Cricetulus griseus: one gene and its partners. The protein of the gene in region 4 interacts with the protein of the main gene of each other region in a biochemical or structural test. Links are inferred from orthologs where the notes say so. Each region holds a gene or a part of one and is shown on either strand. Other genes may lie near its edges.

Region 1 (4,415 bases), on a different chromosome or scaffold from region 4:
AGCTGATGATACGCTGCTTGCAACTGAGCCAGCTTCCGCCTGTGCAAAAGGGGCTGTCACTGAAGAAACTGCTTTGTCCCAGTACAGCCACAGCTTGCCTGGTACAGCTTCACCCTCTTCCTTCTTGTCCCATAAAAGACCTGAAATGTGGGCTTCCTGGATTACATGTAGGCTCCTGGGGCCATCAACTCTGAGGCAGGCTTTGCTGACTGCAAGGATACACTGAAACTGATTTGGCTGCTACACAGTTCATGTTTTCCTTACATCTTGGGATATTTCTAACAAGGGCTAGGGTACAACTCAGGAGTAGAACCTTGGGCTAGCACCAAAAAGAAAATAAATAGGAGAGATGTTTACAATAAAATGACATCTGACTGCATTCAGCACAAAACAAAGAGGCAAGGAGACTGTTCTAAATTAAAGAAAACTCAAAAGGATGCTGAACCAGATGCCAATAGCATGTTTAGAGCCTGTGCAGGCACTGTGGGCCCAGGTGAGTCTTTAGGGCCACCATGGCTCCTTGCTTTCCTTACACCTAGAGCATATGTCAACTGTGGTGAAAAGAACCTGTGTAGGACATATAAATAAACTATGAATGTGGATAGAAAATACTTCTGTTTACATATAATAGTTGACTCTGTCATTATCAAGGCAAAGTCAGCTCTTTTATTCACAGGGAGTCCCTACCAGAACTCCCCAGAAGGCATAAAACACCATGGGTGCTCTGGGATCTCTTGGTACCAACCCTTACAGCCACTCACTTCTCCTCTGAAGCAGCCTGGCGCTCCATTCGCAGGGCAGCCTCCACACTCTGGTTCTGCATGCGCAGCTGGTCCACCTGCACGCTGTGCTGCTGCTGCAGCACCTCCCGCTCACTCTCCAGCTGTCTAACCTGCTCACTAACTGCTCGCATCCTGACATGCAACAAAAAAGAACACACTGAGGGGGCTGGAGCAAGACAGCCTGGGGAAGGGGTCAGGTCCTAACTAGCCTATGTCTAAGAGCTGATTCTGGTAAGACAGTAAAGGGACCATGGCAGCCAGAAGATGGAAAATAAGAAGCATCTCCTGCAACTGGCCCTGAGGTCATAATAGTAGAAAAGCTGCTCTTCCCCAAAACCAGCTGCAACACTTGGGAGAGCAGGCCCTTTACCTTACCTGGGTAACACAATAGAGCCAACATTGTTGGCAGAGGTGTGGGTGAGCCAGCCCCAAAGTTGTAAGCATAGGAAAGCTGTCCCCACTACTTGCCTGTCATGTGGCAATGTAGGTGGTAAGAGATGTTCCCCCTTTACCCCTCGCCCATCTCCACCTGCAACAGACAAGAGAGCTGATCCTCCCCCTTACTAGCTGCAGCATTCAGGATTCAGTTCCTGCCTCTTGCCTAGGCAGCACAGCAGAACTGCTCAGTGGTTGGAGGTGATGGTGACCCAGCCCCAATGCTATGAGCCAAAGAGAGCTGCCCCCATTACTTATCTGTGGTAGTCCCACATCCCACCCATCAACACCTGAGACATGTGGAGAAGCTGGTCCTGCGGTCATAAGAATAGGAGAGCTGTCCTTACCCCTCACCAGCTGCAGCACTTGGGAGAGCAACCGCCTGTACCTCATCTGAGCAACACAACAGAGCTGGCCCTAATGGTGCCAGTGTGGGAGAACCAACCCTAAGGGTGTGAAAGCAGGAGAACTGGTGCCACCCCTCGCTCATTGCTGCAAGAGGTAAATTAGCCGGGAGCAATGCTGGAGAGCTCACCCTGGTGGTGAGGACAGGGGAGGACTGGTTGGCAGACCAACCCTACAGCTGCCCAGGCCCAGATCCAGGGTTATGAATTGACCTAACCCTAATATCCATCCTATTTATGATCTGCTGGACCTGACATGCAGACCCAAAGCTGCAGAATCTCCACAACACAGGGCAACAGCAGGATATCCAGGAAGAGTCCTAGTGAGGGCCGAGTATCAATAGTGTAATAGGAACCAGAAACATCAAACCAGACCAATGACTCTTTGTAGTGAACACTTACAATTAACAATATATGGAGACAAAGGGATTTACAGCATGATTGTGTCACACTGTAGCTTCCAAACACTCACTTTTCTGCAAAGAGTCAGAAACATTAGTGCATGCCTCACAGAGGATGCCAATGTAACTGACTCCCAATAGAAACATGGGGTTCAGAGTCTCCAATGAAAAATAGTTCATGGGGGCTCTGTGCTTTTCATAGGAGTGACTGTGTAATGTATCCAGTCTTCTTTACCTAGGACTATCTGCCTTGGTGGATCCCACTGCATACCTTTCCATGATAAACTTCAGTCTGGATAGTGAGATCGTGAGTGTGGCCTTAAGGGGGCCCTGCAATGCTTCCTAAAGAATAAACTGAACCCGAGTGTAATGGTTTGAATGAAAACAGCCCCCATAGGCTCATAAGGAGCAGCATTATTTGAAAAGATTTTTGTCGGAGTGGGTGTGGCCTTGTTGATGGAAGTGTGTCACTGGGGGTGGGCTTTGAGGTTTCAGATGCTCAAGCCAGGCCCAGTGTCACTATCTCTCCCTGCTGCCTGCCAATCCAGATGTAGAAATCTCAGCTCCTTCTCCAGCACCATGTCTTTCTGTATGCTGCCATGCTTCCTGCCATGATGATAATGGACTGAACCTCTGAATGTAAGCAAACCCCAATTAAAGGTTTTCCTTATAAGAGTTGCCGTGGTCATGGTGTCTCTTCACAGAAATAGAAACCCTAACTAAGACAGCAAGTAAAGGGTCAGATACTGGAAACAAAAGTGGAACTAGATTCCTGGATATCTGGCCAGGGCTCTCCCAAGGCAGACCTGAAGGCTCCAGGGAATTTAAGAAAAGACTTGTCAGTCCTTCCTCTCTTAGGGGAGAGGAACTCCTGGAGCCTCACTCAAAACCCTGGAAAGGGCCTCCTGGAGTAGCTTCCCCTCCCCACTCACCTTCCCTCTAAAGTTTGTCGTTCTTTGGTGGCAGCCTCCAAGCGACTCTGGCTCTCCTGGAGTTCCCCTAACAATGATGTCACCTGGGCTTTCACAGAGGCCTTGTCCTCAGCCATCTGCTGCAAGAGAAAAGGGAATTTCCTATCAGTACTACTTTCTCCCATGATGCCCAGTTTTGGCATCCCCAAGGGCTGAGGCAGCCTACAAGCAGCTGATGTACTAAGGGCTACTCTTGCCCCTCAGCACCTATAAACCTAGGTACATTGGAGCCTCATTAGCCCAATGGCTATCTGTCCTCTCCCAGTCACCAACTTTGACTTTCAGCTGGTAGTAAACCTTTCTCAGTCTCTTTGAAACTCTGAAAAGGGAGACCAGACCCAAAGACAGCAAGAAAAATAAACAACCTAGTCCATATATACAACAGGTGAAAAGTTTCAAAAAATGAGAGAAGATGCTGAATTTTTATAAATACTGAGAGCTGAACCAGCAAGAAGAATTGTCGGGTAAAGGTACTTGCCACCAAGGCCTATGACCCAATTTTGATCTTCAAAACCTACATGGTGGAAGGAATGCTGGGGGTATTAAACCATACTCAGCTCAGCCAAACTTTAAGGTTGACCAAACATTAACATGCCTTCAAACAGCTTAAGATCACATTCCTGGAATGTCCCAGACCCCTTCCTGGTTCCTACTTGCAAATTCTCAGAGTTGTTAAAGGAACAGACTATTCTGACCAACACTTGATATAGGCTGGAAAGCTAGTAAGTACTACCAGCCATGACTCCTTCCTGTATCCCTCTCAAAGTCCATGTATTCCCTATGATCCTAACGCTGTCTCAAAAAACCTGAGTGCTACTCCTTTGAAATGCAATCATCAAAAAGGATAGGACTCAGACTCCTAGTCTCCTAGTATGGTAAAAACATACATTTGATTTGTACAAGCTCATAAACACACTGGCCTCATCACATCGACACTAATACCCTTTGTCATTCACTTCAGCTCCCTTCCCCTGCCCAAATCCTCCATTTTCTTTCTATCTCTATTTCTGTCCTTATTTTTTGAAGTACTAAAAATTGAACTCCAGGCCTTACACATGCAAAGTATATACTCTTATTATTGAACCACACTCTAGTACCTACTGTCATTTTAAAATTCCCAGTCATTGAGTGGAGAGATGGCTAAGAGTACTTGTAGCTCTTTAGAAGATCAGAGTTCAGTTCCTACCACAACAACCATCTAGTAGCTTACAGCCACCTAGAATTCCAGTTTGAACCAGCCAGAATGGCTAAAATCAAAACCACCAATGACAGTCTATGCTGGAGAGGATGTGGAGAAAAAGGAACACTCCTCCATTGCTGGTGGGAGTGTGAACTTGTAAGACCACTTTGGAAATCAGTATGGCGGTTTCTCAAGAAAATGGGAATCAGTCTACCACAAAATCCAGCAATTCCACTCTTGGG
Region 2 (4,874 bases), on a different chromosome or scaffold from region 4:
GTCAGACAGGGCTATTTAGACCCTGTCTCAAAAAAACAAAAATATGTCAACAAACCTTGACTTATGTTTTAAGAATAGAATATTTAAAAAGTGAACTGTAGGAACCAATTTGAATGGCCCAGTCAACATTATCCTGTCTGTAGTTTTAAGTATCTCCTATTCTTGAGGGCAAATTATGAAATTATATCCCATCTGTGGAAACTGGAAACACTCCTATCTGCCATACACAGCAAATGAGGTTCTCAGAGGCTCGTTTGCTATTACTTTCAAGTTTGATATTCCAACTCCATGGAATACATGAAAATTATAGAATCAATTAGTCGGGTACTTATTATCAGTGACCCACAACACCGACTTGCATACAGACCCTGAGAATTTGATTCTATGCCAAGTCTTACACTTCTGAGTGATTAGCATCCCTACTGTCAGCCTGGTGGAGTGCGACAAGCCTGAATTAGATGGAGGAATAACAAGTTCTAGACCACCCTGGATTACATGAGACCCCGTCTCAAAACAAAACACCTAGGTTCCATGAAGCAGTTAACCCACTCAAATGGAAAGGCGGATACCTTCCCCTGTGCAACCCACCACTCAGAAATATGCCTTACTGGACCAAGAGCACACCAAGCTTGTCTTTGCAACCCTGTAGTGCATCCAGGAACAATTCCAACCCAGAACCACTGCACTGGCAAGCCTGAAACAGCAAGGCTGAGAAGCAGCAGGATCCGTGAGGTCGGATGGGAGACTCACATGTCCGGAAGAAACTTTTCACCCTGGAACAACGTCATATCTTTGGGTGGTTTGGGATTATAAGAGGTTTTGAAAAGATGTACGGAAAGGGTAATGAATAAACGGGCCGGTTAGCGCGGTTTCTTTCATGTTTATGGTGGCCTTTACCAGTGGGTTACGGTAGGGCAGGGCTCTGAAAAAGATAAAATGTAGACGGGGTGGGGACCATACGAAGAATATGACGTTTAGGGTTTGGAGAGATTTATGTTAAAATAAAGACACGCATGAAACCCTCAAAGAACACACACACACAAATCTCAAAATGAAAATCCCACACACGAAGGTCCTCTCGGTGCACCCGCTCGTGCCCAGCCCACTCGCCCGCACCAATCCCAGAAGAGACCTGTTCTCAGAGGCTCATTTGCTATTACCTTCAAGTCTGATAATTCCAATTCCGTGGACTACATGCAAATCATAGAATCAATCAGTCGAGTACCACTCATGACCCGTGACCCCTAACACATCGACTTGCGTACAGACCCTGAGAATTCGACCCTACGCCGAGCCTGACGCTTCCGAGTTATTAGCATCCCCAGTGTCAGGCCGGTGGAGAAGGGGGCGGGACTTTTCCTACGGAAGCTATCGGAAGTGACGTGTAGGTCTCGCGAGCAGAAGGGCGCGCGAGCTCGGCGGCCCGGAACCGGCCTTGGACCGGCGGCGAAGCCTGAGGCGGCTGGCGCTCCCGCCCCATGGAGCGGCCCCCGGGGCTGCGGCCGGCCGCGGGCGGCCCCTGGGAGATGCGGGAGCGGCTGGGCACCGGCGGCTTCGGGAACGTCTGTCTGTACCAGCACCGGGTGAGGCGGGGTGGGGGGCGGCGGCGGCGGCGCCGGGTCGGTCCGGGCGGCCCTGGGACAGCGGCTGTCAGTCAGCGGGAGGGGGCGTGGAGACCTTGGGGTGCTGGGGCCGGTGAACGAGCGCGGCCGCACTTAGGGCCCTGGTGAGCCTGGTGGCCGGCCGGGTGCCGGGTGAGAGAGAGGAAGCTGCTGCAGCTGTGTGTGGTGACGAGGAGTGTGTGTGTGTGTGTGTGTGTGTGTGTGTGTGTGTGTGTGTGTGTGACAATGTGTGTGTGTGTGACTGTGTCTCTGTGTGTATGTGTCTGTGTGTGTGTGACTGAGTGTGAGTCTGTGTGTGTGTGACTGAGTGTGAGTCTGTGTGTGTGTGACAATGTGTGTGTGTGTGACTGTGTGTGTGTGTGTATGTGTCTGTGTGTGAGTGTGTGTGTGTGTGACTGTGTCCGTGTGTGTGTGTGTGTGAGTGTGTGTGTATGACACTGTGTGACTGTGTGTGTGTGTGTGTGACACTGTGTGACTGTGTGTGTGTCTGTGTGTGTGTGTCCCTGTGTGTGACTGTGTGTGTGTCTCTGTGTCTGTGTGTGTGTCTGTGTGACACTGTGTGACTGTGTGTGTCTGTGTGTGTGTGTGTGTGTGTGACTGTGTATGTGTGTGTATGTGTGTGTGTCTCTGTGTCTGTGTGTGTGTGTGTGTGTGTGTGTGTGAGTGTGTCTGTGTGACACTGTGTGACTGTGTGTGTGTGTCTGTGTGTGTGAGTGACTGTGTGAGTGTGTGTGTGAGAGTGTGTGTGCGTGCGCGTGTCTGTGTGTGTGTGTGTGACTGTGTCTCTGTGTGTGTATGTGTGTATGTGTGTGTGTCTCTGTGTCTGTGTGTGTGTGTGTCTGTGTGTGACACTGTGTGACTGTGTGTGTGTCTGTGTGTGTATCCATGTGTTTCTGTGTGTGTGTGTGAGTGTGTGTGTGTGTGTGTGTGTGTGTGTGTGTGTGTGTGTGTGGTGACGAGGAGTATGTACAAATATCAAGGATCTCTGTGTGTGTCCCTGCCCGCACACTTGAGTAAACAAGGAAAGTCCTTCCTGGTGTCCAGAGTTGAACCTGTGGAAACATTGACAGACTCTGGAATTGGCACATTCCAGTCCAGGCAAGAAACAGTGTGAGGGTGAGGTGGTAAAATGATCCTTGCTTCAAAGAGAAGGAAATAGACTGAGGGGTTTGTTCTGCAAAAGACGGGTTTGTTATGTAAAAGACAACTAACATCAGGTTCGGGAAATTTGCTTGGATTTAATTGAAAATGTTTAACCATTGCAACAGCAGTTATTTGTACTTTTAAAGGATTTTAAAGCTAACCCTCACCTTCCTTATTTTAATGTTGTTGATGGTAGGAGTGGAACACAGGCTTTGCACATGCTAGGCAAATGGTCTAACCCTGGGTTACACATCCTTAGCCCCAGTTAATCAGGTTTGAGTCATGGGTCTTTTGATAATTCAATAAAAACTATGAATCTTCTCTTCAAAAAATTAATATTCATACAAACCAGTGTATTACCACTGAGGGTTTTGCTCTCCTGAAGAGTGTTAGCTGATTTCTGTATTGGGCACTAAAGGCGCCCCAATCAACAAGAACAGTATTTTCCACCCTGAAGGAAACTTAATTTCAGAGAGAGATTGACATAGACACAAAGTACATCTGGGCATAGTGGCATATACTTGTAATCCTAGCACCCAGGGTCCAGAGACAAGAGAATTTTGAGTTTGAGGCCAGCCCCTGAGTGGGCTTCATACTGTGGTCAAGGCCAGCCTGTCTCAGAAATAAACATGGGTTCAGTGTAATCCTAGACACTGAAAGTACTGGCAGTGTGAGTAGCCAAAGAACTTTCCCTAGGGAATAGGGTACAAGTTCTCAAAGGGTGTTTGAAAAACCTAGTTCCATATAATACATTAAAGAAAGAATTTGGAAGAAGCCAGGCATGGTGGGAACACTTGGGAGACTGAGGTCCATGGGCCACAGAGTGTTCCCTTTTTAAAGAAGTGTGTATGGGAAGGAGATGTAATTCAGTGATAAAGTACATACCCAAGGCCCTGGGTTCTATCCTCAGTACTATAGATCTACCTGCCACACACTGAAAATAATCTGGTCGGGTAGGACTTGGGATCTCAGGAAATGCGTCCACAAAACATATGCAGACAGAGAGGATGGATGTCAGTCGTGTGCAAATACTGCAATGGACTTGGGCAGCATCCTCTAGATTTCAGCGTCCTCTGGAGGCCCTAGAAGCTGTCATCTGCAGACTGAGGGCAACTTCACTGAGTTCAAATACTTTGGGTAAATGCCTGGAGAATCGAAATTCAAATTGGGAATCCAATTTAAAAGCTCCAAAAAGTAAAGAGATTAACTTAGTGTTTTCAGACTTCCTGCCTGCCTCAGTCTTACAATAGCAGGAACTATAGACTTATATTACCACACCCAACTTAGTCTCATTTTTAACAAACAGGCCTTTTTGTTGTTGTTAGGCAACTATAAACTTTCCAGAGAACATTCTCTGTGAGTCGATTGAGTTTTACAGAGGAGGTGAACTATAAATCAAGGCGTTTGAAGGATCTCTTGTGGTTGGGACCTATATAAGGTAGATAGCTTCCTGTCTCATTCATATCAGAATTTAGGGCTTACAAGTCACCATAGTAGCAAAACTCTATGTAGGTTGTAACTACTATCAGATAACCTGTTTGCTTATAACAAAAGCTAAAAGGAGTGAGCACTGTGGTAAAGCTATCTTAGTCTCTATTAGCCCCCAACCCCTGCATTAGAAACTGTCTTGCCTTGCCTTTCTCTTCGTTCCTAATCCAGGCTATCCTATCTAAGCTATCTTGCTCCCTGCTTCCCCCTTCAGCCCCTGCATACTGCACTCACCACTTTGACCACACCTTTGAGACATTCTTTTGAACACTTAATGCAGTTTGGCCTGTTTGGTTCTGACACTGTATTAGTGGTGTTGTCAGAATATGATGAAGCCTGGCTGTTACCTGAAATGTGCATAGGATACTCAGGCAGAAGTGGTGAAATTACTAATCACAAGCAAGAGGTCTTAGGGTTGTATTGTAGATATTTCAGTAGGAGTACAGTTCTTTGGATGTTTTTCCATGCCATTTGAAATGCAAAGATTAGGATCGAGTTTTGGAGGGTTTTATTTTGCATTAGACTTGGTTATATGAAAACTATTTCTTGCTGTTTTGAGGTTTGGGATCCCTGAATTAACTTTCTTCTTTCTGGTTATACTAGAGTTTGGGGCCCTTGTTT
Region 3 (4,415 bases), on a different chromosome or scaffold from region 4:
AAGGGCTGAATAAAGGGTGAAGGAAGGCACTGGGTGGGAACAGCCGCCCAGTCACTCTAGATGGAGGTGTCTGGGAGGGAGAAGGCTAGGGACTCGGCTGTGACAAAGATGGCAGACCTGAAGTGGGTTTTAAAGAACAATTGGCATGGATGGACAGCATGACTAACAATTTCAATATTCTCATTAAACAATTTGTAATCCAACTCTTGGACAGGGAAACGAGTTAGCAAGTGGCAAGGAACAGAATTAAACAAACAAGCTGATGCTTGTGTCCACAGGACCTGGCATACACAAAAAGAAGCACTCACAAGATCCTCAGGCGAAGTGATAGGTGATAAGTATGCTCATCCACTCCCAGTCCCCCAGCCCCCTTGAACATTACACTTGGCACTGTCAAGCATGGCTTACCTTTTCTTGGCTGAGTCAGGTAAGCTGTCACAGGCACTGGACGGCTGGGACATTAGCTGACCAGGGTGACTAAGCCGAGACACATTCATGCTATCTGGGCTTCCACTGACTGGACCTCTGACTTTGCTCTGAATGACAAAAGATCATCAACAGAATTATGGAGTCAGTGGGCTGGGGAGAGGGCTCAGGGATTACTCAGGCTCTTGCAGAAAATAAATCTAAAAGAACAGGAAGGATCTGGGCAGTGGTGGCACATGCCTTTAATCCCGGCACTTGGAAGGCACAGGCACGAGGATCTGAGCTCGAGGCCAGCCTGGTCTACAGAGCAAATTCCAGTTGAGCCTCTGGCCTCTCCTTAGTTGGTGTGCACATGTGCTTTACACTTCTTTACTCAGTCTAGTGTTCTCTTTCAAGTCCTCATCTGCAATTCTCACTAGATTATAGTGGATGCCATCCTCAGTTCACCACGTACCCCCACTTTCACACCACTGCTGGACACTCCATGAATGCAGGTGGCAGAGCAGGGCATCATTGTGTTATCTCAGATTTCCCCCTTTCCCTACCTTCTTACAGGAGGCTATATCCTCCAGCTCCCATCCCCAGGCAAATCTGCCAGGGACGCTCCTGATTCTGACTCCTTCAGTTCTCAGGAGTGACAATGCCCTGCTGCTATGAATCTCCCAGGACACCATCTCCTCCCTTGGCCTATAGAGACACTCCAGTCAAAAACCTTTACAAGGAGACTGGAGAGAGGGCTCAGAAGCTGCTCTTCCAAAGGCCCCGGGTTCAACTCCCAGCATCTTCACAGTAGCTCACAACTGTCTGACTCCAATTCCAGGGCTTCTGACACCCTCAAACAAACATACAAAACATACATAAAACACTGAGGAACATGAAATAAACATTTAAAAAAGGCTTTTTATGAAGCACTATTTTGTATCTTGCTTCCAAAATAAGCCACCTCCTCTTCTTTGCCCTTTTGGGTTGTTTTGTTATCTGAGGTGGGGTCGTACTATCTTGTCAAACTAGCCTTGAACTTCCTACTCCACACTCTCAGGTTCTGGGATCACAGGTGTGCACCTCCACGCTAGGTTCTCTCTTTGCTCTTGAAGCTACTAATGACTGAACTTTTCTTTGGCCAGCTTCTCTTTCTCCTTGGTCTCTTTTCAACAACAGGTCCCTGTGTTCTAAGGTGCGCTATTACTCGGCTCTTTCCCTTCTTTTTCTTTGTTTTGTTATACTTTTTTTCCCTGAGTAGTATACCATAGCTGTGTTATGATAGTGTGTACATGTTCACAAGTGTGTGTGTGTGTGTGTGTGTGTGTGAGAGAGAGAGAGAGAGAGAGAGACAGAGACAGAGACAGAGACAGACAGAGAGAGACAGAGACAGAGACAGAGAGAGAACAAGCAAGCTCATATCTTGGAATAATCCAGGAAATGAAATATCTTAAATAAATTGAAGAAACTTAAAAAAAAAAGGAAAGACCCCTCCATGCTCACAGTTTGGTAGACAATTTTGAAAATAGCTACACTACCAAAATCAACTACATATTAAATGCAATCCCCCGTCAAACTTCCAAGAAGAGAAATAGAAAAAAAAAAAAAAAAAAAAAAAAAACCTCAAACTTCATATACAAAGAACTCTAATTAGCAGGAAAAATCCTAAGCAAAATAACCAATGCTGGAGCTACCACCACCTTAATTTCAAGTTATACAGGTGAAGCAGCACAGTAACACTAGCAGAATGGCACAAAAATAGACCCACGGCGGGCTGGAGAGATGGCTCAGAGGTTAAGAGCACTGGCTGCCCTTCCAGAGGTCCTGAGTTCAATTCCCAGCAACCACATGGCCTGCAAGGATACATGCGGGCAGAACACTGCACACATAATAAATAAAATCTTAAAAAAAAAAAAAAAATAGACCCACGGACCAATAGGGCAGACAGAGCACCCAGGCAGAAATCCACCCAGGCACAGAAATCTGATTTGACAAAGACGCCAAAAATAGTCATGGGAGGAAGGCAGTCTCTTCAACAAATGGTGCTGGGAGAGCCAGATATCTGCATGTAAAAAGTAAGACTGGGCCCCTGTATCTGTGTGTGCATGCCTGCATGACTGTATGCATGCATGTTGCTAGGGACTGAACCTGGGGCCTTATGCATGAGGCAAACATGGCTCTGCTGAGCTTCACCCCTAAACTCTAAATGCGTTCTTGTAAGAGTCCTTCAGATGAGAAACACTGATGTCACCTGAAGACACAGATACAGATGACAAGGCTTGAGCCACTAAAGCTGGGAGGGTGGGGGTGTCTCTCTGCTCTCTGTTTTTTTTTTTTTTTTTTTTTTTGAGACAGGGTTTCTCTGTGTAGCCCTGGCTGTCCTTGAACTTAGAGACCCGCCTGCCTCTGCCTCCCCAGTGCTGGGATTAAGGGTGCCAGCTGGATTCTTAGCTCTGAAAGAACAATGTCTGCTGTTTGGAGCCCCTCTACTTGTGGTAATTATAGTAGTCACATGGGTAAGTAACACCTCACATAAACTTTCCCTTCAGGAATCTTCCTGCCCACTCCATGTCACAAATAAGTGCCAGTCGAGCAGCGCTGAGGAGCATGGGTCAGGGAGGGGAGATAGATGGAAGGGACAACACACACAACACCAACATGGGGACCTGAGAGGCTGGAGCAAAGGTCCACTCACACAGGCAATCTTCAGGAGGTTCCAGAGCTCCTTCTGCCGCTTCTCCTGAAGGCGGACCACAGTCTTCTCATCCTCATTCATACGGCTCACCACGTCTTCTACCTGGGGCAGCAACTCCAGTGCCTTCTGCTTACAGACCACGGTTTTACTGTAAAGGACAAATGAGCCACACACCCGTGAGCTCTGGGTGGGCACTATTCTGGATCCTATCAGCAACCACAGATTGTTTCTTCACTGTATAGGCAATTCAGAGCAAGAGCACCCATCTGACCCTCAGTTTTGCTATAATCCCACATCTTGTCCTGGAGCAGGAGCAGAGCACCTACCTGAGCTGTGTATAAATTACGCGCACTTTCTTCTCAAAGCTTTGGATTGCCTGAAGTAGCAGCCGAACCATTTCCTGACTGTCACCGTCTGTCCTCTGGTCTGCAGAGAACAGTGGCATAGCTCTTCCTCCTGGCCTCTGGGGGGTGGGGAGGGTAAGGGGGTAGGGGGAAGGGAGGGGCAGTGTTATCTCAAAGACAAGACAAAATAGGGCCAAGGCCAAAACCACCTACCTCTAGGCCTCTCCCTCAGTCTTCTATAGAGTTCCCTCGCTTGTTCCTCTCTGGAAGAGAGAAAAGGCTAGACTCAAGGCCTACCAATGGCATTTAAAGCACTACTCTAATCCTTGTCAGCAGAATCGATAGTTTTTAGACAACTAGACACAGGTTCTCAGTGGGAAAAACCCACCAGTTTTTGTACTATTTATAAAACCTAAATGCCTCAAACAAGGGCCAACTTAAGGGTTATACCCTTCTCTGCTTGGCTACAAGAGATTCAAGGTACCATCTCTGGATCTGACTAAGAAAATACTTGCCCTCAACAACTTGAATCCAGCCGGGCAGTGGTGGCACACAGAAGACCAACTAGCCCTGGCTGCACACACACAATCCTAGTACTCAGGAAGCTGAAATAGGATTCTGGTGAATTTGAGGCAAGTCTTGGCTATCAAGTACCAGAACATTGAAAATATATATATATATATATATATATATATATATATATATATATATATATACACACACACCCTGTTTTGAAACACACACACACACACACACACACACACACACACACACACACACTCATTCTGATTTGGAAACTTAAGAGTAAAGGGTTAAAAAACAATATAATGGAGAACAAATAATCATTTTCAGATTTCTCACCCTAAGAATTCTAGTAAGAGCATCAGGGGACACTGATCACTTCAAGTGACAGAGCCCTTGACACTCACGCCCACCTGGATCCCTCCTATCAGCAGCACACAGGCTGAGCG
Region 4 (5,210 bases):
CAATTAAACCAATGCTGGCTTTAGAGGTGGATTTGGCTTTCCTCCTCTAAATCCAAGCACTTTGTTAAACTTCAGAGTTTCTGTACTATATCAAGAAGTCAATTGATGTAATACAGAATAGAGGAAAGATCAGGGACTGTCATTTGTCTTTTCTTGGCCTTTTTCTCTCAAGGTGTACATCCTTTCATAATTCTTATTTTCCCATGGTTGCCTTTCCCGGTATGCATACATATACAAGCAAATATTTCTCTGCTAACATTTATTTTTGAGTCCCACACAGCCAATGAAGACCTGTTGACAGCAACCCCTGGATGCTCCAGAAAGAAAATGGGCCACACCTCCTCAATTGCACTGGATCCATCTTACTTATTTCAGCTGACACTCTGGCCAGAACTTCGGGTACTGACTTCAATCAACACAAGAACTTCAATAGAGACAAGGACTTCAACCTGGACCTTCAATCAGGCACCTCCCACCAAACATGGACTGGATATAACACATTCAGGACTTTCATTACACTAACATTTCTTCCCACAGGACCCCACGGGGTTGTCACTGTCATCCCAGTTCAGCAGGAAGTAGCATGGAGAACACTGCATCCCCTTTCCCCACTGTTTACACCTAGTCTGCTATTATTTAAGGCTGGGTTTGGAAGGAGGTGTTCAAGCTTGGACATCTCTTTCGGATGACTTTAAGGTTTAGTTGGGATAGTTATAGTTAAGATGTGACATTAGTAGATTATTATAACCTCATGTAATTTACCCTTATGATTGTTTATAATAGATAATTTACACTGTTAAGTTTTAATCCTCTTTTAGACTAAAAGGGGAATTATAGGGGAAATGTCAGCCATGCCCTCTTGGGTGCTGACACAGGTAACGCAGAGCACGCACACTAGGGTATGGTCAGTGATGTAGCAAGACCTTAAATATGAGGGTCGCACTCAGGCGGCTCTCTCTGTTCCATGGTTCACCTTGTTTAGAGGACTGACTGGTTTCGTGAGTACTTTTAAAACATGTGCTCGTCAAACTTGGTCGACTTCTTTGAGGTACACATTATTTGTGCCCCACTTTACACAGGTGTCCCGGGGGATCAGCAGCTGGACAATGGTCCCCAAGACTCAGGGGATGTCTGAAACTCAAGGTACAAATCTCATACCCAAGCTCTCTGCCATAAAAACTCATCTCATAGTCAAGGCAGCTGCCAACAGGCAGGAAAAGCTCACAGTGTGATAGACTAGGGATGAGGTGTGACTCATGCCCCTGGTCAGATGCAGTGAGTGGTACAAGATTATCATGCTACTTAGAGCAGTGCTCAATTTGTACCATGTAACTTGTCAAATTCCCGTCCAATATCTTTGGACCATGGCTGACCACAGGCAACAGAAGCCACAGAAAGGAGACCCTGAAAACAGTATCATGTGCACAACTTCCCATTATTTATCAGGACAGATAGTACAGGAGGAACAGCACGAAGTCTGGCAGGGGTATTGAAAAGCTCCATTTTTGAAAATGTAAGAATAACTTGTATAATATTAAAACTTGATTCCTAGAAAACACTTGGAATAGAGGTCTGAGGTTGAGAAAGAAGGAGGTTCAAGTTATGTCGACAAATTTTTAAGCTTGTCATGAGCAGCTTTAATAATAGGATATCTGAGGAAAAATACGTTCTATAGACACCTTGAAGCTCATGCATAGTTTCTCTACAGTTGTGAACATCTGATACAGGGCTAAACTGTTAATGTCATAACGAACCAACTGGGCAGTGACAAAGGTCTGCAGTACTCATGTGTGTCCACAGACAGGTCTTGTCCTGCTCTGCCAGCTATAAAATGAAAAGCAATTCTCTTCTTTACAGGTATTGTGAGAAAATTCAAAACCGTGTGAAACGGAACTGGAAGCATAGCCGCCATACTTTAGTACATGGTTTTACTGGCATCTTAAATAAGACTATGGTAGCTATGAAAGACCTAGTCCCAAGTAGAATGTGAAGAAGCTCTCTGGACAGGATGTGCCCTACCAACAACACCGAACAAGGGAACTACGTGGGGCACGAACCCCACTCAACTACGCCAATTTTAATCATGGGTGCAATGCAATAAACCTTACAAGGGATAAAGTACGGCAGAAACAGGGATCTGAAGCAGAAACGACCTCAACAACTTGCTCTCAAGTTCGCAAAGACGGTTTTCCAACAGCACTACCTACGGTGCTAAGCAAAGAACGAGTTACTGTCTTTAACGTGAATCCACGTATATGATCTAAGTGGCGCTTATCTGACTTTCTGGCAAAACTCGTAACTGGAGTAAGAGAAGAAAGGAAGCGAGCGCATCGTGCCTCGGGTCACAAACTCTAAGTAAGGTGCCTGTGCCGTTCCGCCCGGTCTCAGCACAGGCGTGCGAGGCAGCCGCTGACTGTTTTCAAACGTGTGCCTGGCAGCCGAGCCTCGCTCGACGCTCGCACACCCCCCTGCATTGAAATGCGTGGGCGTCTGACGGCGGGGAATTCCGGGCTGCGCTTCCAGCTGGGCGAGCTTCACCCGGCCGCTCCTGCCTGGGGACCCCGGGCGGCGCTGGCCTAGCGGCTCCCGCGGGGTGAGGCGGGCGGGGGTCGGCAGGATGGGGAGCCCCCGGCGGGGAGCGGAGGGCACACAAACACCCAAGCCGGCCCCGGGCCCCGATCCAGCCTTCTTCCGACACCAAGCTCCCGGTCGCTCGGCTCCGGGTTTCGGGTTTCCGCTTTCCTCCGCCCGCCCCGCTCGCCCGCCGAGCTACTCACGTCCTTCTTCACTTCAGTGAGGTCCTCCTCGGTTAGGGACGGCGCAGGAGCCTCCATGGCCAGGGCCGGGATGGCGTCCTTCCGGCCCGCGCCGCGCCGCCCCGCCCAGGCTGAAGCCTCCGGTCTCCGGGACGCAGGCCACCGGTGACTCTGGGGGACCAGGACCAGATCCGGGGGAACCGCCGGCCGGCTCCCGGAACGCGGAGGTGCGGAATCTCAGCGCCCCACTTCCGGCTCCGCCCCTGAGGCCTGCGGAGCCTCGCTCGCCACGCCCCCTCCCCGTCCCTAGGCTGGAAGGCCTAGCTCAGGCTCCACCCTCCAGGGGCGGGTCTACCGTCAGCCCCCGCCCCCAATAGGGCCAGCCAATCAGTGCTAGCCCGCGGTTCTCGCTCCTTCTTCCGGAGTGGCTTCGCCGACAGGGGCCGCCTCTCTAGCCACGCCCAGGATCTATTTGCATAAGGTTGCGGATTGGTCTGCCGAGAAGGACTCGTTTCCGTGGGCGGGGCCGTGGCCGCTCAGTTTAGCGGGATCTCCCCGCCCTCGCAGACTCCGCATTTGGGTGGAGCGTGGGCCGAGTCCGCCGTCAGGTCCTCTGCTTTGCTTCTCTTTTCCAGATGTTGCGCAACGATTTCCTGTTGTTGTGCTGCTGCTCCAGGTTTTATGATTGCTCGATCGTGCACAAACGCTTACAGGTGTGCAAAGCATACACGCGCACATAATATAACTTCAGTATTGAAATGTTTGAGGGCCTGGTCCGGGCCCGCTGACACCCACAACTAGGGAGACTGGAGGAGCACGAGGATCGTGAGACCAGAAAACAAATCAAAATAACAACAACAAAGTAAACAAGTAAATAACGAAAAAAGGTGTTAACTTTAAAAACATCACCTGCAGTCCCACTATTTTAGCACCTAAAGCAATGTTTGGAGTACTTTTAAGTCACTGTTAGGAACGTATCCCCTTACTAACCTAGCAATAGAGATAGATTCTTCTAGGGCCTCCTGGAATATAGTTAAGGTTCTGAAGTTACTTGGTGCACAGTTGCACGCTCGTGTTTGTTTTTATCCATTATCATTATTCACTAGGCAAGTGTTTTAGTCACCTTGTGATGGGGAAGTTCTCTTATCGGAGACCAGATGGCTATTCCCAGGATGGTATTCTAACTGTAGCAGCGTGTGCAAACCATAGGACATAGTGGACCAGGAGCTCCAGATAGAGTGCTACGCCAAATAGGATTATGTGTGGGTATTTAACATGTTACAAGCTCATAAATGCTAAGAGGAAAAATAGAGAAGGGAAGTAGGAAGGGTGATGGTGCAGACTCACTGAGAGAAGGGATAAATTTCCCACCTTCAGGAAGTGAGGCAGGAGCCCTGTGGACAGATGGAGAAAGATCTCTAGGAGTGGAGTGCCCCACCAGTGAGCAGACTCCGTGTGACAGGGAGATGAACTCTGTGTGTATAATCTGACTTTGCTCTGAGTCATGCAGGTTTACTCTGACTCAGAAGGGACGCCATGGAGACTTCAGAGCAGAGGAGTGACAGGTGCCGTCTATGATTTGAGGGTCTCTTTCACTGTTCTAGGAGGGGAGACAAGCTGGGCGGCTCCGGTCTGATGTAAACCCCAGGAGGTAGCGGTTGGGCTAGGTGGGCGGTGCTAAGTGGGAGCTGTGAGAGACAACGCCTGGAAGAGAAGGGGCGGGGAGATTGGATTTTGTTTTGAAAGGCTCACAGTAGCTATCAAAAAGAATAGACTGGAGAAGGGTGAGAAAGAGAAACAGCTCCAAGCTTTATTCTCCCTCCACCCAGTACCATTGTGAACACTCTTCACCGTCACTTTTGGTCATGAAAAATTGTCAACAGTTTTCCTTTTTTCTTCCTTTGCAATCAGGTCTATATTGTTCAGGCAAGTGTTGAAGTGGTTTCAGGCCGTCCTCCGACCTGAGCCTTGTGTATGATCGTATCCTGTAGTTCTCAGTCCTCGGTTTCTAACGCATTCTCTTCCTCCATTAGGAAACTTATTTCCCCTTTTCTACTAAATCACAGGGCAAGACTATAATTGCCTCAAACAAACATGCCTGGCCATTCTTTGCAATAAGTACCTCTTCCCAACCCTGGGAACCAACCTACATTGCCATCTCAACTTGTAAGTGTACGCATGTCCTACTCTGAAACCGGAGATACCTGATCCTGTTCTGTAGATGTGATTTGGAAGCTGCAAACACAGGGCACTGAGATAATAGTCCATGATGCTGGGACAGTTTCTCAGAATGTCTCCTCGTGGTTAAGGGACACAACACATGAATGTATTTTCAAATAGGATCACGTTCTGAGGTTCCAGTTGATGTGAATTTTGGGGAGATGCTGACATGTGTTCTGAGAACAATTAGTAGAAATCAATTAGGGAATTTTTCTAGGGCTGTAGGGGGAGGAA
Region 5 (4,415 bases), on a different chromosome or scaffold from region 4:
AAAAGAAGCAGCTGAAATGACCATGGCCAACACTCAAGATAGTTCCTAGGGAAGTCCAACCAAGAAGTCAAACATCCCTAGTCAGTATGTGTCTCTGTCCCACCCATGTGGCATGTTTTCAAGTTCTGGATGCATCTTGACATCAAGAATATGATCACTGGGCGGTGGTGGCACACGCCTTTAATCCCACCACTGGGGAGGCAGAGGCAGGCGGATCTCTGTGAGTTGGAGGCCAGCCTGGTCTACAAAGTGAGTTCCAGGACAGCCAAGATGACACAGAGAAACACTGTCTCAAAAAAACAAAAAACAAACAAAGAACATGATTGATGGCTGTTCTTAAAATGAATACCATGCTTCTTCTTTTGTTTCCTGGGAGACAGTTTCATTCATTTCCCAAACTGGCCTAAAATTTACTATGTATCTGAGGATGGCCTTGAATTTTTGATCCTCCTGACTCTACCTCCAAAGCCTGGAATTACAGGCATGTGCCACCAAAGTTGGCTCAGTTGCTACTACTTTTTGTTGTTTTTGGTTTTTTGAGACCGGGTCTACCATTGTAGCCCAAACTGGCTTGGAACTCACTGTGTAATCCAGGCTGGCCTTGAATTCACAGTAGTTATTTTGTTTCAACCTCCAAATGCTGGGAGTACAGGTATGAGCTACCACTACTACTACTGCTGCCTATTCCAGGGGGTTACCACCAGCTCTTCTACCCAATACTGTGGCCTCCACCTCCCACCTGTGTAGCTAGCAACTTCCTCTCCTCTATTGAAGTTTCCAACCCTGACCTTCCCCTAACCAGCACAGGCGCCACTGGGACTCCCCTGCTACACTGGCCCTTCCTGTGAGAGAGGCAGATGTTCCTGTCTTTGTACAAGAGGCTCCAGGTTCTATCTTTCAACATTGCCAAGTTACCTCAGGCATAAATAGATAGGTAGGTAGGTAGATAGATAGATAGATAGATAGATAGATAGATAGATAGATAGATAGATAGATAAAGTAATGAGTTGACCACAGCTTCAAAAGCCTCTACACCGGCACCCAAACACTCCTCTCATTCTCATCTTCTGAACACAAATGCAACACCTACCTGGTCCCGCTCAATGGAGACTTCCTCCATCTGCTGCAGGATAGCCTCGATCCGGTCCTTGTACATCTTGGCATCCTTACGCAAGGCCAGGCACTGCAGCTCGAACATCTCCCTTTCCTCCACGCACTACAGGAAGCACCACTCAGCCTCACCCACTCTCCACTGCTCACCTGGCCCTGGGCTGGACTCAGGCAACACCTTCAGAGCACTCAAGATCGGGCTAGCCGGGATGATGGGAAGGGCACTGCAGTCCCAGGCCACAGCAGGCTTGCCTGGTCTGAGACCATGGCCTCAGCCACCACCGATCACACGGTAAACTGAAAGGATGACCCTAGCTGTGGACATGACACCACTGTGCACCAGGAATTGGTGAAGGGGAGACAGTGAGTTACATTCCAGACCCTGCCTTCCAGATACCCAGTGGGTACTGCTTGCCTGCCCTGCCCTCTCACCCGGGTCCGGAGGGCCTCAGCTTGGCGGAGGTCCTTGCGTAGGGAGAAGATGGTGTTGGCCTGCTCTTGGTGCTCCTGCAGTGCCTGGCGCCAGTCCTCCTGCAGCACTTGAATGTAGGGGCTGTTCCTGTCTAGCTTGCCCTCCTGGAGGTGGCAAAGGGCAACAAGCCTGGCCATTGCAGTTGTACCATCTGGTGTGCCCCTGGTGTGCACTGCTGGTAGCCCTACCTGTACAGAGACCTCCAGCTCCTGCACCCGGGCCTGCAGCAAGTCCTTTTCCTGCTGCAGCTCCCACATCAGCTCCTGGCTGGGCCGCTGCTCCATAGCATGCCTGAGCTTCAGGGTGTGTTTTCGCTCCACCTTGCAATCATCCTCTGCCTTCATGAGGCTGTGCCTGAGCCGGTCCACCTGTGGGTGGTCCAGTCAGCAGCAGCCTCCTCCAGACACCCCCACCCCCACCCCCCTGCTGGTGGGACAAGCGATCACCTCGAGCTGCAGGTCCCGGTTCCGCATGAGCGCTGAGCCCTTCTCTTCACTCAGATGTGCTAGGCGCATGGCCAGGTCATAGTTCTCATCCTTGCAGCGCTTCAGCTCTCGGCTGCTCAGCTCACACTCTTCCTTGAGCCGCTGCACACGCTCCTGGTGCTTGCGCAGGAGGCTGTCCTTTACCCGAAGCTCCTTGATGAAGTCGTCCTTGGAGCTCAGAAGTGCCGTCAGGTCCTGAACCTTCTTCTGCAGCTTCATGACCTCTGTCATCAGCAGCTGCGTCAGGCCTGACTCCCCTGATGCATCTGGGGACCATGCAGTGTCAGATGGAGCCTGTGGCTGTCACCTGCAGACCCTGTGCTTGTCCTTGTCCAGAAGTATGTGCTTGAAGACCAGCAGTTTGAGGGGCAGAGGGAGCACTACTGGTCTTCCACAGAGAGAAAGCTGGTGGGAAGGCTCCCTGGGGACTGTTCACCAGGCCCAGTCTGCCTTGCTGCCCCTCACATATGAACTGACTGAGATTCTAACTTATCACATGCCAGGACTCCAGCTGGCCCTCTCTCTCTCTCTCTCTCTCTCTCTCTCTTTTTCTCTCTCTTTTCCCTGAGAAAAGGTCTCACTATGTAGTCCAGGGTGGCCTCTAACTCAGAGATCTGCCTGCTTCTCCCTGGGATTAAAGGTGTGTGCCAGCATGCCTGGCCCTCTGTCTACCTTTATAAAGATCTTTATGAGATGAATGATAGGGATGTGGACTGATAGGGATGTGGCTATTCCATCAGTTCACCTCTGTCCCCTCTAGAAACTGTGGGATTCTGTCCTTAGGTGGTAACTGGGCCCCATGGAATTAATACTTTATAGAGGGGTCACCTCTTCTTAGTGGATGTTCTTAGGATGGGAGTAGGAAAGGCAGAGAAGGGAGCCCTGACCCTGAGCACCTGAGAGTAGTCACTGGTACCACTACTCTGATATGTACCACAGGGCTTGTATTAGACTCATTCATTCTGATGTAATCACAGAAGCCAGGACCTGGTGGCACCTGACTGCACTCACAGCACCCACCCACTCTGTGCCTCTCACCAATGATCATGGAGAAGACTCGTGCTGGCTCCTTGCCCGTGACTTTCCTGTATAATTGAGGGTAATAGAGTTCCAGACTCTCAAGGAAGGCTACATAGCCCTTGTGGCCTGTCCGCTGCAGGATGTCCAGTAGCACACCTACAGATGGAAGAGACAGAGTTGAGGCCAAGGTCTGGGTATGTAGAAGCTCTGGGGCCCAGGTGGGACAGTGGATGACTGCTCTGAGTAGAGGTGCCAAGCTGTGGACCCCCAGCCCTCGTTTCTGGGCCCTTCCTAGCAGAGGGATCTGGGGCATTGCATAAGGCACCCTGCAGGTCTCAGTCAAGGCAGAGTAAGGTGCTGCCTTCACTCTTGTGGCTCTCTCACAGCCTGAACAATGGTAGGAACTCCCCTTCCCTCCTCTGGGTAGCAGCAGGTAGGCATGATGAGAGGAGAGAAGGCTCTCATGCATACATCCTAGGTGTAGATGGAGCTGGGTGGGGACAAGGCCAGGGCGGCACAGCATGTAGCAGCCTCTGGCCAGGTGTCTGTGGGGACCATGAGGGACTAGGGACAGCCCTGCTGGTGTGGGAGCAGCCCTCACCCACTTTCCGCTTGCGAATGACCAGGTTGGGGTCACTGAGCACCTGCTCCTCATCATCGGGGTTCAGGACTTTGCACTGGCGCAGATAGGGTGTGATTCGTGAGGGGTCAATAACAGAGATGAGCTTCACCCGGAAGCTCTCCAGGGCACTCCAGCACTCGTCATCATTTTCATAGTCTGACATGTCCTCTGTAGTCTGTGGTCACAGTCAGGGGAGAGCAGCTCAGGAAGTGCCCACCTTCTGTTCTCTACTGGGTCTGGAGCAGTCAGCCTACAATAGGACCCAGGCCTGTGAGTGCCAGAACAGGGCTTTGGGCAAGGACACAAGGGACTCATTCTGGAGAAATTTGAGGGGTCAACCTCATCTTTGTTCCACAGATTCTGAGGGATAGCAGAGGTGCACTGATAGCCCCTCCTAGTGCCACCCTGCCAAGCTCATCTTCCCCAAGCAACTGCCCCTCTGTTACCTCAAACTTTCTTCCTGAGTCACCTGGATATGTCAGGGAAAGGGCAGGTTGGGGTCTAAGAGAACACTCCTTGTACAATGGCCCTTCTTTGGCTTCTGCCCTTTACCCTAAAGTGCTCTTGAACCTCCTGAAGGTAGATGAATGTAGGGAGCTTTTGCCCCTAGTAGCCATCCTACACGGCACCTTCTTGGGTGGCACGGGCTCTGGCGGGCCCGTGTCCAGATTGTGGCCGAGAGGCTGGTTGGCTGGAGGCTTTCTCA

Evidence for each region.
Region 1: the proteins of Bcl10 (region 4) and Ikbkg form a complex in vitro, tested with the Homo sapiens proteins (3 studies listed by BioGRID). The link is inferred for Cricetulus griseus from reciprocal best matches to the Homo sapiens genes BCL10 and IKBKG.
Region 2: the proteins of Bcl10 (region 4) and Chuk form a complex in vitro, tested with the Homo sapiens proteins (2 studies listed by BioGRID, with this or other methods). The link is inferred for Cricetulus griseus from reciprocal best matches to the Homo sapiens genes BCL10 and CHUK.
Region 3: the proteins of Bcl10 (region 4) and Ikbkb form a complex in vitro, tested with the Homo sapiens proteins (2 studies listed by BioGRID, with this or other methods). The link is inferred for Cricetulus griseus from reciprocal best matches to the Homo sapiens genes BCL10 and IKBKB.
Region 5: the proteins of Bcl10 (region 4) and Card9 form a complex in vitro, tested with the Homo sapiens proteins (2 studies listed by BioGRID). The link is inferred for Cricetulus griseus from reciprocal best matches to the Homo sapiens genes BCL10 and CARD9.

Annotation. Positions count from the first base shown.
Region 1 is NC_048604.1:1,279,514-1,283,928, forward strand, and holds part of Ikbkg (NF-kappa-B essential modulator), read right to left. Parts: intron 3,074-4,415; coding exon 2,955-3,073; intron 915-2,954; coding exon 762-914; intron 40-761; coding exon 1-39. UniProt on the Homo sapiens protein: Regulatory subunit of the IKK core complex which phosphorylates inhibitors of NF-kappa-B thus leading to the dissociation of the inhibitor/NF-kappa-B complex and ultimately the degradation of the inhibitor.
Region 2 is NC_048596.1:17,443,763-17,448,636, forward strand, and holds the start of Chuk (inhibitor of nuclear factor kappa-B kinase subunit alpha), read left to right. Parts: upstream 1-1,478; coding exon 1,479-1,583; intron 1,584-4,874.
Region 3 is NW_023276807.1:61,028,162-61,032,576, reverse strand, and holds part of Ikbkb (inhibitor of nuclear factor kappa-B kinase subunit beta), read right to left. Parts: intron 3,708-4,415; coding exon 3,658-3,707; intron 3,527-3,657; coding exon 3,427-3,526; intron 3,249-3,426; coding exon 3,101-3,248; intron 537-3,100; coding exon 409-536; intron 1-408.
Region 4 is NW_023276806.1:13,250,958-13,256,167, forward strand, and holds the start of Bcl10 (B-cell lymphoma/leukemia 10), read right to left. Parts: upstream 3,016-5,210; 5' UTR 2,835-3,015; coding exon 2,778-2,834; intron 1-2,777. UniProt on the Homo sapiens protein: Plays a key role in both adaptive and innate immune signaling by bridging CARD domain-containing proteins to immune activation.
Region 5 is NC_048599.1:137,744,091-137,748,505, forward strand, and holds part of Card9 (caspase recruitment domain-containing protein 9), read right to left. Parts: 5' UTR 3,873-4,415; coding exon 3,689-3,872; intron 3,244-3,688; coding exon 3,106-3,243; intron 2,910-3,105; exon of another isoform or gene 2,334-2,909; coding exon 2,029-2,333; intron 1,951-2,028; coding exon 1,771-1,950; coding exon of another isoform or gene 1,687-1,770; coding exon 1,543-1,686; intron 1,217-1,542; coding exon 1,091-1,216; intron 1-1,090. UniProt on the Homo sapiens protein: Adapter protein that plays a key role in innate immune response against fungi by forming signaling complexes downstream of C-type lectin receptors.